Macaca mulatta: one gene and its partners. The protein of the gene in region 3 interacts with the protein of the main gene of each other region in a biochemical or structural test. Links are inferred from orthologs where the notes say so. Each region holds a gene or a part of one and is shown on either strand. Other genes may lie near its edges.

Region 1 (4,231 bases), on a different chromosome or scaffold from region 3:
CAGTGCTTCTAACTTCTCTCACACCTGTGGTCTCTGATAAGCAAATATATACACTCAGAGACCACAGACATAGGATGTAAAAGTTTAATGAAAGAAAACCAGAGATCAATGTCTCAGCAAAGTACCATAGACCAAGCAGAAATCATCTCTATGACCCACATCACAAATGACCCAAACTATTCACATGGAGTAGGGGAAAGTGGCCCACTGTCACTGGATGGCTAAGAGTGAAGGCATCCAACCAACGTGTTTGGCAGAAGCGCACACACACCACTGTTAACAGTGGCGACCTCTGAGGAAAGAGGAGGGCTTGGGGGGATAAAAATTTATGTTTGAATCTTTAACAATATTTTTTGTTTGTTTTAAAACTCATGAAAAAGAAAAAAAATTACAATGCTGAATACCTTAGCAGCCTTCTCCAGTAGGTATAGCCTGTTGTCTGCTTTTAGATGAAATTTATAGCAGGTTCTGAGACCTTCAGCTGGGCTTCCAGAATCTGCTGCTCTGACCCATCCCAGTGGCCACGCTCTAGTTCAGACCTGCATTCTACTTCACTTGAATCATGCAACAGCCTCCTCAGGGCCTTTCTGCCTCCAGATCAGCCTGGTCCAATGCATCCCCCATATCGGCCATTCAGAATAATGAGTTTTTAAAAACCACTGCTCTGTCAAAACCCTTTCTCAGTTCTTCATTGCCTTCAGGATGAAGTCCAAACCTTTAGCTTATAATCTAGTTCCATTTTCATTTAGAGTCTCAACTCCCACCACCCCGCCCTTCTCCCATCCTCCACTCTAGCCACTTGGATGGCTCAGAAAACCTCAGTGCCTTTGCACAAGTGGTTCCTGCTTCTCAGAATGTCTTTTCCTCCAACTCCTGTTTCTCCTGGTAAATGATTACTCATTCTGAGGTCTGGGTCACCCAGACAAAATTAGTCACTCCGCCTGCAGGCTGAAGTCACTCTTAATATGGCACGAAAGTGTCAACCACTATAGATGACAAGCATCTTGAGGACAGAGAGCTCTGTCCTCTTCCGAGGCTATTGGGCCCCTCGCAGGGCAAAGCACAGAACACAGGTCCAGAGAAGGGCTGAAAGGAGGGAGGAGGGGTGGAAGGAAATGCCATGCAGGGCAAACTCTGCAGCCACCCCTCCTGGGAGCAGCCTGTTTCCAGGCTCATGTTAGTCCCTAATAAAAGGACTATAGAAAATTCTGGAGTAAACTTCCCTTCCCTGATTCACACAGAAACCTTCTTTGCTGCTGTGTAACTCACCGAATGCCAACCCAAGCTCCCCTGGCTGTTTACAATTTCCCTGGCATTTCTAAATAGCAAGGCCCCGGAAAGAAAAATGGAGTTTCAAAGGAGCTGAAAGCCGACCGTTCCCATCCCCATCCTTACTCCTCTGTTTCCAAGCCTCTCTCCCTTAACAGCCCCAGGAAACACCAACCAGCATCCCCAAGCGGGGGGGGGGGGGGGGGGGGGGGGGAGCGGTGGGGAATGCTTGTCCCTTTAGTGAACGGAACACCCAAGAAGGAGGCTAAAGTCCCTCCCAGCAAGGAATCCACAAAGAGCAGACTGGAATTGGGTCCCAGCCCTAACCTGCCTCACTGTGTGTCAACTAGCCCATCATAAACTCTCTGGGTCCTTGACTTTTAACTGTGAAATGGGGATGGGGTAAGATTCTAGCAAGCTATGGTCGCTGTAAAGGGCAGAGCGGTGAGAGTTCCTGGTGCCCTGGTCAGAAATGTGGTCCTGGGAGAACACGACACACAGGATTAAGTCTTTGAAAAGTCCCCAAAGGCCAAACAAAAGCGAGAGGCACCTCCCCAGAAGCCCCGCCTTCCACAAAGTCCAATTACCCTCAAGACAGCCTAGAATGAGTTCTGGGTGTTTTAAAAGCCCCTTCCATGCTCTGAGGAGGGTGTGAGGACAGGATAAAGCGGCAGATGTCTGGGCAGAGAAGGAGCTAGGAAGAAAGCCAATGTCACCTGCTCGCCCACACCCCCAGCCCCCAGTCTTCCGAGGACTGGCTCTTCTCCCCGGGCACTGCGCAGACCAGCCAACCTGCACTGGACCAGAGGGAAGTTGCTGTTATTTAGGTTTTGGGGGGCTGGATCCCAGAAGACATGGGGGATCAGGGAGAAGGGGTTCCAATCACTGTCTTCAACTCCGAAAGAAGCTTCCGTGTGAGTCAGGGAAGGGAACACTGCAGGGCCGGGGAGGAGCCAGCAGCTACAGGTAGCAGGCGCCCGAAGATTTCAGACAGTACAAGGAAGAACTTTCTAACAGTCCTCAGAAAGAGGAAGAAGCCGAAGAGGAAAGCAAGCACAGGTATCGTCCAGGAGGCAAGGGTCCTCTGAGTGGACTCCCCAGCGGGGTCACCGCCCAGACCGTAGCTGGTGGCCCCCTGCATGCCCGGCTCAGACACCCCAAGCGCGGGAGTGACCCCGGGACAGTTCCCCCATCGCGGGGGCGGGGTCGAGGTTATTAGCTCAGGTGCTAGCAGCACAGTGGAATCACGGGGTGGAGGCCTGGCCCCTCTCCTCTCCTGCTCCAGCGTCTCCCCATCCCCCTGCTCCCATCCACACTCTTTGGTCCCCTGGAAGACGGGAAAACTGAGCGCGGAAGCCCTTTTCCAGCGACCCCCGCGGCCGGGCCGAGCTCCAGGCGCGCGCGAGACAGGACCGGGAAGGAAGGGAGAGGAAGGGCTCAAATCAGCCCGGGACCCCCAGATGTCCGGGGCCGGGGCTGCGCGCCTCCCCTACCTGCTGCTGCGGCGCTGGAGACGGCGGCTGCTGGGTCCAGCTGTGCTCAGCTGGTTCCGGGCGGCGGGGCTGGGGCGTTGCGGTGCGCGCGGCCGGGGTGGGCAGGGCGCGGGCGGGAGCCGCCCTCGGGGCGGGGCGGCCCGGCAGGCGGGTGGGGGAGGAGCGCCAGGCCCTCCCGTCGGCTGCAGGGCGGGTGGCTCCAAGCTTGCCTTCATCCAGGGCGACCCCTCGCTTCACCTCGCAGGAAGGCACCAAGCCCTCTGCTTTCCCCTGGAGGAAACTGAGGCCTGGAGCACGGAGGGGAGATCTGAAGAGGCCTAGCGTCGGGGAGGAGACCCAGGGCAGCTCCTGAGCTGGCCTGGGGCCAAGAGCTCAGATGGGGCGGGCAGGCGAGCAATGCTCAACTAGCACCAGCGGAGGCCGATTTCAGCCCCGGAGAGGACGGACTTCAGGAGGCAAAGTGAGACTTCGGAGAGTGACATAGGCTGCACACAAAGCAAGGGAGATTCCTTCCCACGGAAGGGAATAAAGAGGAAGAGCGATTCCCAGCTCATTCCGAATGAAGTAACGAAAATGCCAAGTGCATCCCTGGTCCTTAAAGTGGACCATTAAGCAGGCGCCGTGGAGTCAGAAGGGCCTGGTTTGGAACCCCAGACATCAACTAGTCCTGTAACTTTGGGCAAGCGAGCTCACATACCTAAGTCTCCGTTTCCTCGTTTGTCAAATGGGCATCCTGGATTGCCTCTTCATGGGGCGGTTGAGAAGACTCAGTGAGAAAAAGACCCTCAGCACAATGACAAGGCACTGTGGCTTCTGCATAAACGGATGTTCTTATTTGTGTCATAGCAGATATTGTTTGAGGAGATTGAGGAAATCCACATTGGGCAGAAAGATGAGTTCAAGGTCACTTTTAAACAAATGTAAAACTTTGTTGATCTCAACAGCATCTCATATGCATTTGAGACGATAGCCGTTTATAATGTGGCAAGGCATAGGAGGGCCTCCCAACAGTCCTGGTGCACACGTGGGTTCCCAGGGCTCTTGGAGTTGCCGCGTGACTCCAATTTGGAAGGATTCACACACTCAACAGGAGACTGCACCACATGACAGAGATGTCCATTCCCAGCCTGGGTGCTGGCAGCAGCCTCATGTTCAGCCAGGGTAAAGCTCCATCTTAACACAAGATGAAATGTACTACAGTCTGTAATTGCCAGGTGCTGGGGATCAGAGCAGAAAAGGCTGTTGTTTAGCACAGAAGCCAAGAGCACAGCGCTCACTCCCTGGTTTTTCCATTGAATAGCAGCCAGGGAAGCCACAGGACCCAGGGAGTCTCGCCCTGGCTCTTCCTCCTGCCACTCTTTCTTTGTTCAGCACCAGTAAATACAAGAACCATTTCTTGAATGCCTCATGCCATGCTCTGGGCTTCCCACGTATTACCGACTTTCAGTCTCACCTCCCTACCTGACCTC
Region 2 (3,645 bases), on a different chromosome or scaffold from region 3:
CCAAGGAAACTGAGAATGTTGATAAGCTAACAAATTTACTTTTAACTGTTTAGCAATCTCATAAAGTTAGCCCAAAAAGTGCCTACTGCTGATCTGGAGCATGTTTTGCCACTAGCTGAAGATGTTACTAACATCCTCTCCAAATGCTGTGAGTCTGCCTCTGAAGATTGTATGGCCAAAGAGGTAAGACAATCTTTATTATCATTATCACCATGTGCCAGGTATTGAGTGCCAAGTACTGAGTGCCAGGTACTCTTCTAAGCTCTATTTCATATGCATTATCCTAACAGATGCTCACATGTATCCTGTGAAATATAAATAATTCTTAACATCACTGTACAGGTGAAAAAACAGAAGATTAGCAAGGGTCAATAATTTGAGATCACACTACTAGTAAGTGGCAAAGACCATATGCAAAGATAAGATTATCTGATTCTCAAGACCTTATGCTACTTGCACTGTATGGTATTCATTACCACATATGGTCATTTAAATTTAATTATAATTAAAGTTAAACATATATATTTAAGTTGAATATGATTTAAAATTCAATTCTTCAGTTATACTAACTGCATTTCAAATGGACAATGGTAGGAGCTACTACTGTTTTTATTATACTTTTTATAATTTGATGCCCATCTCAAATTTTTTTTGCCATTTTTCATTTTCATAATCCTTTAAAATGATTTAAATTTGAATAATTGCTTTAGCTGAAGGTCAGTCTCCAAGGTCTTGTCAATCTCTGTAGTAATAGATACATTGTGTCACCTTGTCTTTTTCCATTAAAAATGCATGTCTGTGTTAATAGATGTTTTTCTATAAGGATTTATAATGGCTAAATAGGATTCTGTTGCCTATGTCCATGTCGTGTATTACATCTATCTACCCAGACACACCATATTTTTATTTTACTAATCCTCTATTGTATTTAGGTTGTGTTGATTTTTTTAAACATTTTAATAAAATGCAATGTTGCACTTAATAGCCTTATAGTTGTCCTTTTATCCATAATTATTTTCTAAGTATAAATTCTTAAAAATAGAATTGTACATTTTTAAGACTTTTAGTACATATTGACAAATTGCCTTTCCAAATATTGTACCAATTTTCTTTCTGAGAGTATTCATACCGACTTTCATAAATGTGATGCCAAAGCTTGTAAGCCTATGTAATTCTTATTTTTAATTAGACTATCAGGAGACTAACAATGCACAAATTAACCGTTCGTTCTGTAGCTGCCTGAACACACAGTAAAACTCTGTGACAATTTATCCAAAAAGAATTCTAAGTTTGAAGAGTGTTGTCAAGAAAAAACAGCCATGGACATTTTTGTGTGCACTTACTTCATGCCAGCTGCACAACCCCCCGAGCTTCCAGAGGTGGAGCTGCCCACAAACAAAGATGTGTGTGATCAAGGAAACACCAAAGTCATGGATAAGTAAGTAGAGGTGATGTGAAAACGTGTTCCCATTTTAAGTTCATCTGGACAAAAAGTGGAGGCCAGCCAGACAGAGGGAAGGTATGCTATCACTCATTTCAAACACAAGCAAAGTACTACTTTTATGCTTTTCATGGACTTTAAGTATTTGTTAATTGATTGTAAATGACTAAAATTTGTAAAACACCATAATCAATTGAGTGTGATAGAAAGATTTTGGGTAGGGAGAAAGGAGCTTAGAGTTCCTAATTCTGCCTTCTCTGATTCTTGTGCACTGCCAAAAGAAGTGACTTGACAATTCTGAACTTCAGTCTATTGTTAATTAATTTGAAAATGTTAATACTTGCCTTATTTAGCATACAGATTGCTAATAAGAAATGCATGTAGAAATGTCAGTGAAAGTAAATGTGAAAACACATATTTGTATACAATGCTGAACACATGTAAAATATATCACGTAACCAGAAATATTTTTAATATTATTAACTAGTTTTATCATATTAATTCTGGCTCAAAATCACAAATCAAAAGCCTAAAGTATACTAAACTTTTGGACAATAAGCATTTGATACAAATAAAAGAGATAGCAAGCATAGAATATTTTTTTCTTAGCATTATCGATATTCATTTTCATTAAATTTAAAAAGAGATTTAATGCAAAGAAATGGTAAACTTTTGTCTTGTTTCATCCAGCTAAAAAAAGAAGTAAGATAAATATACCATGGTTTGAATAGATGTGTATGCATCATCATGGCATAAAAATATTTCACAAATAGTTTGAAGCCACAGGTTGAAATATCAATTAGCAATATCAGATGGCAGAAGTTATATAGGACTGAAACTTTAATTTACATTTTTCTAAACGTTTATTGTTTATATAAGTGCATAGACAGCAGTGGGATAAGACATAATGAAATAATTTACACAAACCTATTTTCACAGAAAAGCCTTTTGAAGTACCCACTTGATGTTTTATATGGGGTCAATTGTATTATGCTTGCACAAAGACAGTTCCATATGCATTTGAAGTAAATATGTTTACATATAATATATTTAAATGTATATTATAAGCAAAGCTTTAGTTCAATATTGACTAGTCACGATAGCAAGTATTAGTAGCTTGTATCTCAATGAAAGTATTTTATAATCCAAAGCCTGTTGATTTAGAGTCAGTCTGAGCTAAATCTCTTCTTTTTAATTAAGATGCAGAAACCAAGTGCTCTGCCTTTATGACAGATATTTCACATTTCAAAATGTAGGCCGGGCACGGTGGCTCATCCCCACAATCCCAGCACTTTGGGAGGCTGACTCAGGCAGATCACTTGAGGTCAAAATTTCCAGACCACCCTGGCCAAACCTGGTGAAACCCTATCTCCACTGAAAATACAAAAATTAGTCGAGCATGGTGGCAGGCACCTATAATCCCAGCTACTTGGGAGGCTGAGGCATGAGAATCGCTTGAACCCGGGAGGCAGAGGTTGCAGTGAGCCAAGATGGTGCCACTTCACTCCAAACTGGGTGACAGAGGGAGACTCTGTCACAAAAAAAAAAAAAAGTAAATATATAACACATATCTCCTTTTCTCTCGCATGCTAGGTATACATTTGAACTAAGCAGAAGAACTCATCTTCCAGAAGTATTCCTCGTTAAAGTACTTGAGCCAACCCTAAAAAGCCTTGGTGAATGCTGTGATGTTGAAGACTCAACTACCTGTTTTAATACTAAGGTATATTTGCTAGATTTTCTTTATCAAGCACATAGATCAAGGGTTGGAAAATTATAGTTCATGAGCCAAAACTTGCTCACTGCCTACTTTTATATGGCCTACAAACTAAGAATAGAAGAATGGTTTTACATTTTTACATTGTTGGGAAAAAAGCAAGAGAACATCAGTATCTCACGACCCATGAAAATTATACAAAGTTCAAATTTCAGTGTTCATACATTAACTTCCACTGGGACACAGTCATCCTCGTTGTTTCTGCAAAGCTTACAACTGCTTCTGTACAGAGTTGAGCAGTTGCAACAAAGACCATATATGGCCTGCAAACCCTAAAATATTTATTATCCTGCCTTTCGTAGAAAACATTTGCCAATGCTTAATGTATATAATACTCATACTGATACAATATTTGGAATTTTGGTTTAATGGCCAGATGGGACAACATTTCAAGACAAATAATTTTGTTATGCAATTATTGTTTTCT
Region 3 (4,296 bases):
TGCCCGCCGACTCCATACCTGGGGACCGCGGAGGGGAGCGTGAGCGGGAGCTCCGGGCGCCGGGGGCCGGCGGGGCCTGGGGTAGGGGGCGCGGGCGCGCGGGGCTCACCGATGAAGGAGGGCTGGAAGAGCGTCTCCGGGCAGCGGAAGCGCTCGTTGCCGATGGTGATGACCTGCCCGTCTGGCAGCTCGTAGCTCTTTTCCAGAGAGGAGGAGGAAGCGGCCGTGGCCATCTCGTTCTCGAAGTCCAGGGCCACGTAGCACAGCTTTTCCTTGATGTCGCGCACGATCTCGCGCTCAGCTGCGTAGGGTAGAAGCAGGAGAGGAGCCCTCACTCAGGGCCCGCCGCCGGCCCTCCCTCCCGGGGTGTCGGGGCTCCGCGCACCTGTGGTCACGAAGGAGTAGCCGCGCTCAGTGAGGATCTTCATCAGGTAGTCGGTGAGATCGCGGCCCGCCAGGTCCAAGCGCATGATGGCGTGCGGCAGCGCGTAGCCCTCATAGATGGGCACGTTGTGGGTGACGCCGTCGCCGGAGTCCAGCACGATGCCTGTGCGCGCGGGAGAGAGTAAGTCGCTGGGGGCGAGGCCAAGGCTGGGCGCTCAGCGCTAGGGGCGGGGGCGGGGGCGGGGGCGGGGGCGGGAGAGGGGCCTGGGCGCAGCGGGCACTCACCGGTGGTCCTGCCGGAGGCGTAGAGGGACAGCACTGCCTGAATAGCCACGTACATGGCGGGCACGTTGAAGGTCTCAAACATGATCTGGGTCATCTTCTCGCGGTTGGCCTTGGGATTGAGGGGGGCCTCGGTGAGCAGGGTGGGGTGCTCCTCGGGAGCCACGCGGAGCTCGTTGTAGAAGGTGTGGTGCCAGATCTTCTCCATGTCGTCCCAGTTGGTGATGATGCCATGCTCGATAGGGTACTTCAGGGTCAGGATACCTCTCTTGCTCTGAGCCTCGTCGCCCACGTAGGAATCTTTCTGACCCATACCGACCATGACGCCCTGCGGATCCGAGACACCACGCACCCATTAACGCCGCTCCGGGTGGCACCAGACTGGGTTACGCGGGGACCCCGACCCGGCTCCTTCCGCAGAGCGGCAGCCTGACCTGGTGTCGGGGGCGGCCCACGATGGACGGGAACACGGCCCTAGGGGCGTCATCCCCGGCGAAGCCGGCTTTCACCAGGCCGGAGCCATTGTCGCACACGAGGGCGGTGGTCTCGTCTTCGTCGCACATTGTGTCTAGTTTCTGCAAGGACAGGGAGACCGCGAAGAGGCGCGGTGCATCAGCGCAGACGTCTCAGCGGCAGCGGGGGAGGCCTGGCCGGCTCAGACGTCCTCCCTCCCCAGGAACCTAGGGATATCCCCTGCCAGAACCACTCAAATTCTGCCAGGGCGGCGACCAGGGGTTCTCTTCCTGAGCTTTGCCCCTGGCTAAGGGCTGCCCTGCACCAGGAAAAGGGGCACAGGGTCGTGAGACCACACTGAGAAGTCCTCTGTCCACACAGCCAGGGGAACATGTCCCCCAAGACCTGTCTGCCCTCCCTGCCTGACACCTGCTCCAGGAGCTGGACGCTAGTGCCCATGCTCTCTGCACCTCCCTGACCACATCTGTCACCTAGGAAGATAAGGCCTGGGCACTGCCTGCTCGCTGGGCCAGCGTGAGGGTGGAAGGAGATGCCCATGGGAAAGGCGTTGGCACCCCATCCAGAGAAGAGTGACCTGTTAGGAACCCTATGACATTTCAAACTCAGAAAGGGCCTTTTTCCTGTTGGAAACGGAGCATGGGTGGTCCTGGCTGCTCGCTCATTAGCTCTAGCGCTAGTTCGGAAGGGAACTGCCTTGGCGACAACTAAAGCAAAACCGTTTATCTCCCTAGGCACATCCTACATGCCGCATAAAGCAGCCCAGAGGGGCTAGAGAAAAATCTGGAGACGTCTAATTTCCAGAGTCTGTCTTGTCTCCTTTTTAAAGCGCATGTAGCTCCGGAGACGAGGCACAGCGCTCGGGGCGCAGGCTTGGGGCTGACCAGGTGAACCGACTGGGTTCTGCCCCGGAGTCCTTCAGGTTCCCCTCGGTATTCCCCTGTCCCCCTGTCCCCTCCCAACTCCCGCCCTACCTGGGCGGGTAGCTACAACTGCTACTCTCGGCTCGGGCCCTGGTCGCCGCGGGAGGGAAGCGAGGCTTCACTTGGCGCTGTCCGCTGCGGTGGCCGCTTGTCCCTCTGCTCAGGTTTTATATAGCCCGCGGGCACTCCCTCCGCGCCACCCCGCAGGAATGTCGCTGCCCTTCTCCTGCCATATTTGGGTGTTGGGCACTAGAGCCCCCTCCCTCGGCCGGTTCGCGGCCTGGGCCCCCGCCCGGGTCCCCTGCGTTGACCAAAGAAGGAGAGGGTTGGCCCGGTCCCAGGTAACGCGGGCCGGGCCGTATATGGAGTGTCTCCCTAGCGGGTTTGCCCCTCCTGACCCGACCCAGTTGCCCGCTGGAGGGGATGGGGTGGGGCGAGGGTCACCGCGTGCGCCGGTGGGTGCATGTGTGCGCCTGCGCTCCGGGAACCACACCTGTTCCAAAGGCCTCCCCACCCATGCCCACTCTGAGCGCCCTGGGAGCTCGGGAAGGTGCCTGACTGCTAACTTCCAGTATTTCAACTCCTCTTCAGGTTCTTTGCTCAGATTCCCAAACTCCCACTTGCGACTACCGGGAGGAGGGAGACGTGTGGAGTGGTGGGCTTGGGCGGATTGGAGAAGCCGTCACTCCTGAGCCTCAGGCAGGGAAGGAAGGCGAACTCCCTCCCCCTTACGCCCCTGGAACTCCATTTCTCTCTTCCCACCCCTGAGCTCCCTGAATCCAAAAAGCTGAGCCACGTCGACCCCTTCCCCCACCGCGCAGAGGGCCACTGGCGGCCGGAGGGCGCGCAGCTGTCGCAGGACAGACAACTGGCGGGGGGGTAGGCGAGGGCGGAGCGCCGGGGAAGAGGCGCGGGGGCTCCCGGGGATAGGCCCGTCAGACGCAAAGCCTGGGCACACGGAGCTGTCCGCCTCAGGGACGCGCAGAGTACTTGGGTCTCCTAAAGGGATTGAAGGGGTGAGGGTTCCCCTCCTCTAGGACGCACTGGCCCCAGGTTTTGGTGGGCTGAGGCCCTCCCCCAACCTCTTCGGTGGCACTATGTGTGTCCCTCTCCTGGGGCTGAAAGACGAGGGTCATAACCCGGGACTGGCTAGACCTGGAATGGAGGTGGAGATGGGTGAGGGGCTCTTCCTAGATGAGGCTTTGCTGGTCCTTCCTGCCAATAAAGGGCGGGGGGAGAGGGGGGCAAGTACGCAGCACTCTAGGATGGGTGGCAGTTTTTCCTTCTGCAAAGGCTGAACAAACTCATCTTTATATTTAGAGGATGATGCCTGCCAAGGCCGGGCTGCCTCCCAGTCCACCTTAGAGTCATCACCTACCAGAGCCTGCTGCAGGTTCTATTTATATCACTGATATATGGGGCTATGCCTTTCAGATTTTCTAGAAGGATTTGGAGCTACTTATGGTAAAGTACAGTGGGGGTCAGCAGAGGTTACCCAGCTGGTGCCTGTCTCTCTCTCTCTCTCTCTCTCTCTTTTCCCCAAGACAAGGACAGTTCTAACCTTGTGGAGGGCACAGGAGGAGCAGTCTTTTGTGATGAACTCAGTGACATGCTTTAAGGGGGTACATCAGTGATACGGTGTGGGCCAGAACAGAATCACTCATTTTTCTGGTGTGCTTAAGTGCTCCTAAAATAGTTGCAATTCACATTTGGAAGTGGAAATCAGCAACTGGGACAGGTGCGGATTCTCTAAAAGGGGGATAGAAGCATATGTGACCCTCCTCTGTAGCCCACATCATGGCAGCTCATCCTAAAAATAAAGAAGTATTAACAAAAATGTTTTAGTGAATAAAATACTACCCTCCTAAAAACAATCAATTAAAAAATAAGGAGTTTGGCTAGTATAGGGACTACGTGGTGAGTATAAAGGCTCCTATGGTATCATATTTAGTTCTTCCAAGTATTTTGGAGAATAAGTGAATAACTGACAGAACTGTATTTCATTTTTAATATCCTGTGTCCTCCTGTGTCAGCGAGTAGTGGAGGTACTTGAAAAAAACCACCTGGCAAATGAGTTGCATGTAACATAAGGGGACTAGCTTACATTTAGGCCTTGAAAGTAGGAAATTTGCTGCCGTTCACTGGATACCTCAATATCTGTTCGCATTCCAAAGGAGAATGGGACTGTCACTATTTTTCAAAACTCTTGCTCAGTCCAACTCTTACCTTTCCTTAC

The links.
Region 1: the proteins of ACTA1 (region 3) and GSN are reported together in a solved structure, tested with the Homo sapiens proteins (3 studies listed by BioGRID and IntAct). The link is inferred for Macaca mulatta from reciprocal best matches to the Homo sapiens genes ACTA1 and GSN.
Region 2: the proteins of ACTA1 (region 3) and GC are reported together in a solved structure, tested with the Homo sapiens proteins (2 studies listed by BioGRID and IntAct). The link is inferred for Macaca mulatta from reciprocal best matches to the Homo sapiens genes ACTA1 and GC.

The regions. Positions count from the first base shown.
Region 1 is NC_133420.1:36,932,068-36,936,298, forward strand, and holds the start of GSN (gelsolin), read right to left. Parts: upstream 2,821-4,231; 5' UTR 2,763-2,820; intron 1,051-2,762; exon of another isoform or gene 919-1,050; intron 1-918. UniProt on the Homo sapiens protein: Calcium-regulated, actin-modulating protein that binds to the plus (or barbed) ends of actin monomers or filaments, preventing monomer exchange (end-blocking or capping).
Region 2 is NC_133410.1:62,076,990-62,080,634, forward strand, and holds part of GC (vitamin D-binding protein), read left to right. Parts: intron 1-53; coding exon 54-183; intron 184-1,235; coding exon 1,236-1,438; intron 1,439-3,034; coding exon 3,035-3,164; intron 3,165-3,645. UniProt on the Homo sapiens protein: Involved in vitamin D transport and storage, scavenging of extracellular G-actin, enhancement of the chemotactic activity of C5 alpha for neutrophils in inflammation and macrophage activation.
Region 3 is NC_133406.1:19,613,040-19,617,335, reverse strand, and holds the start of ACTA1 (actin, alpha skeletal muscle), read right to left. Parts: upstream 2,888-4,296; 5' UTR 2,112-2,887; intron 1,242-2,111; 5' UTR 1,230-1,241; coding exon 1,101-1,229; intron 995-1,100; coding exon 670-994; intron 548-669; coding exon 386-547; intron 302-385; coding exon 110-301; intron 19-109; coding exon 1-18. UniProt on the Homo sapiens protein: Actins are highly conserved proteins that are involved in various types of cell motility and are ubiquitously expressed in all eukaryotic cells.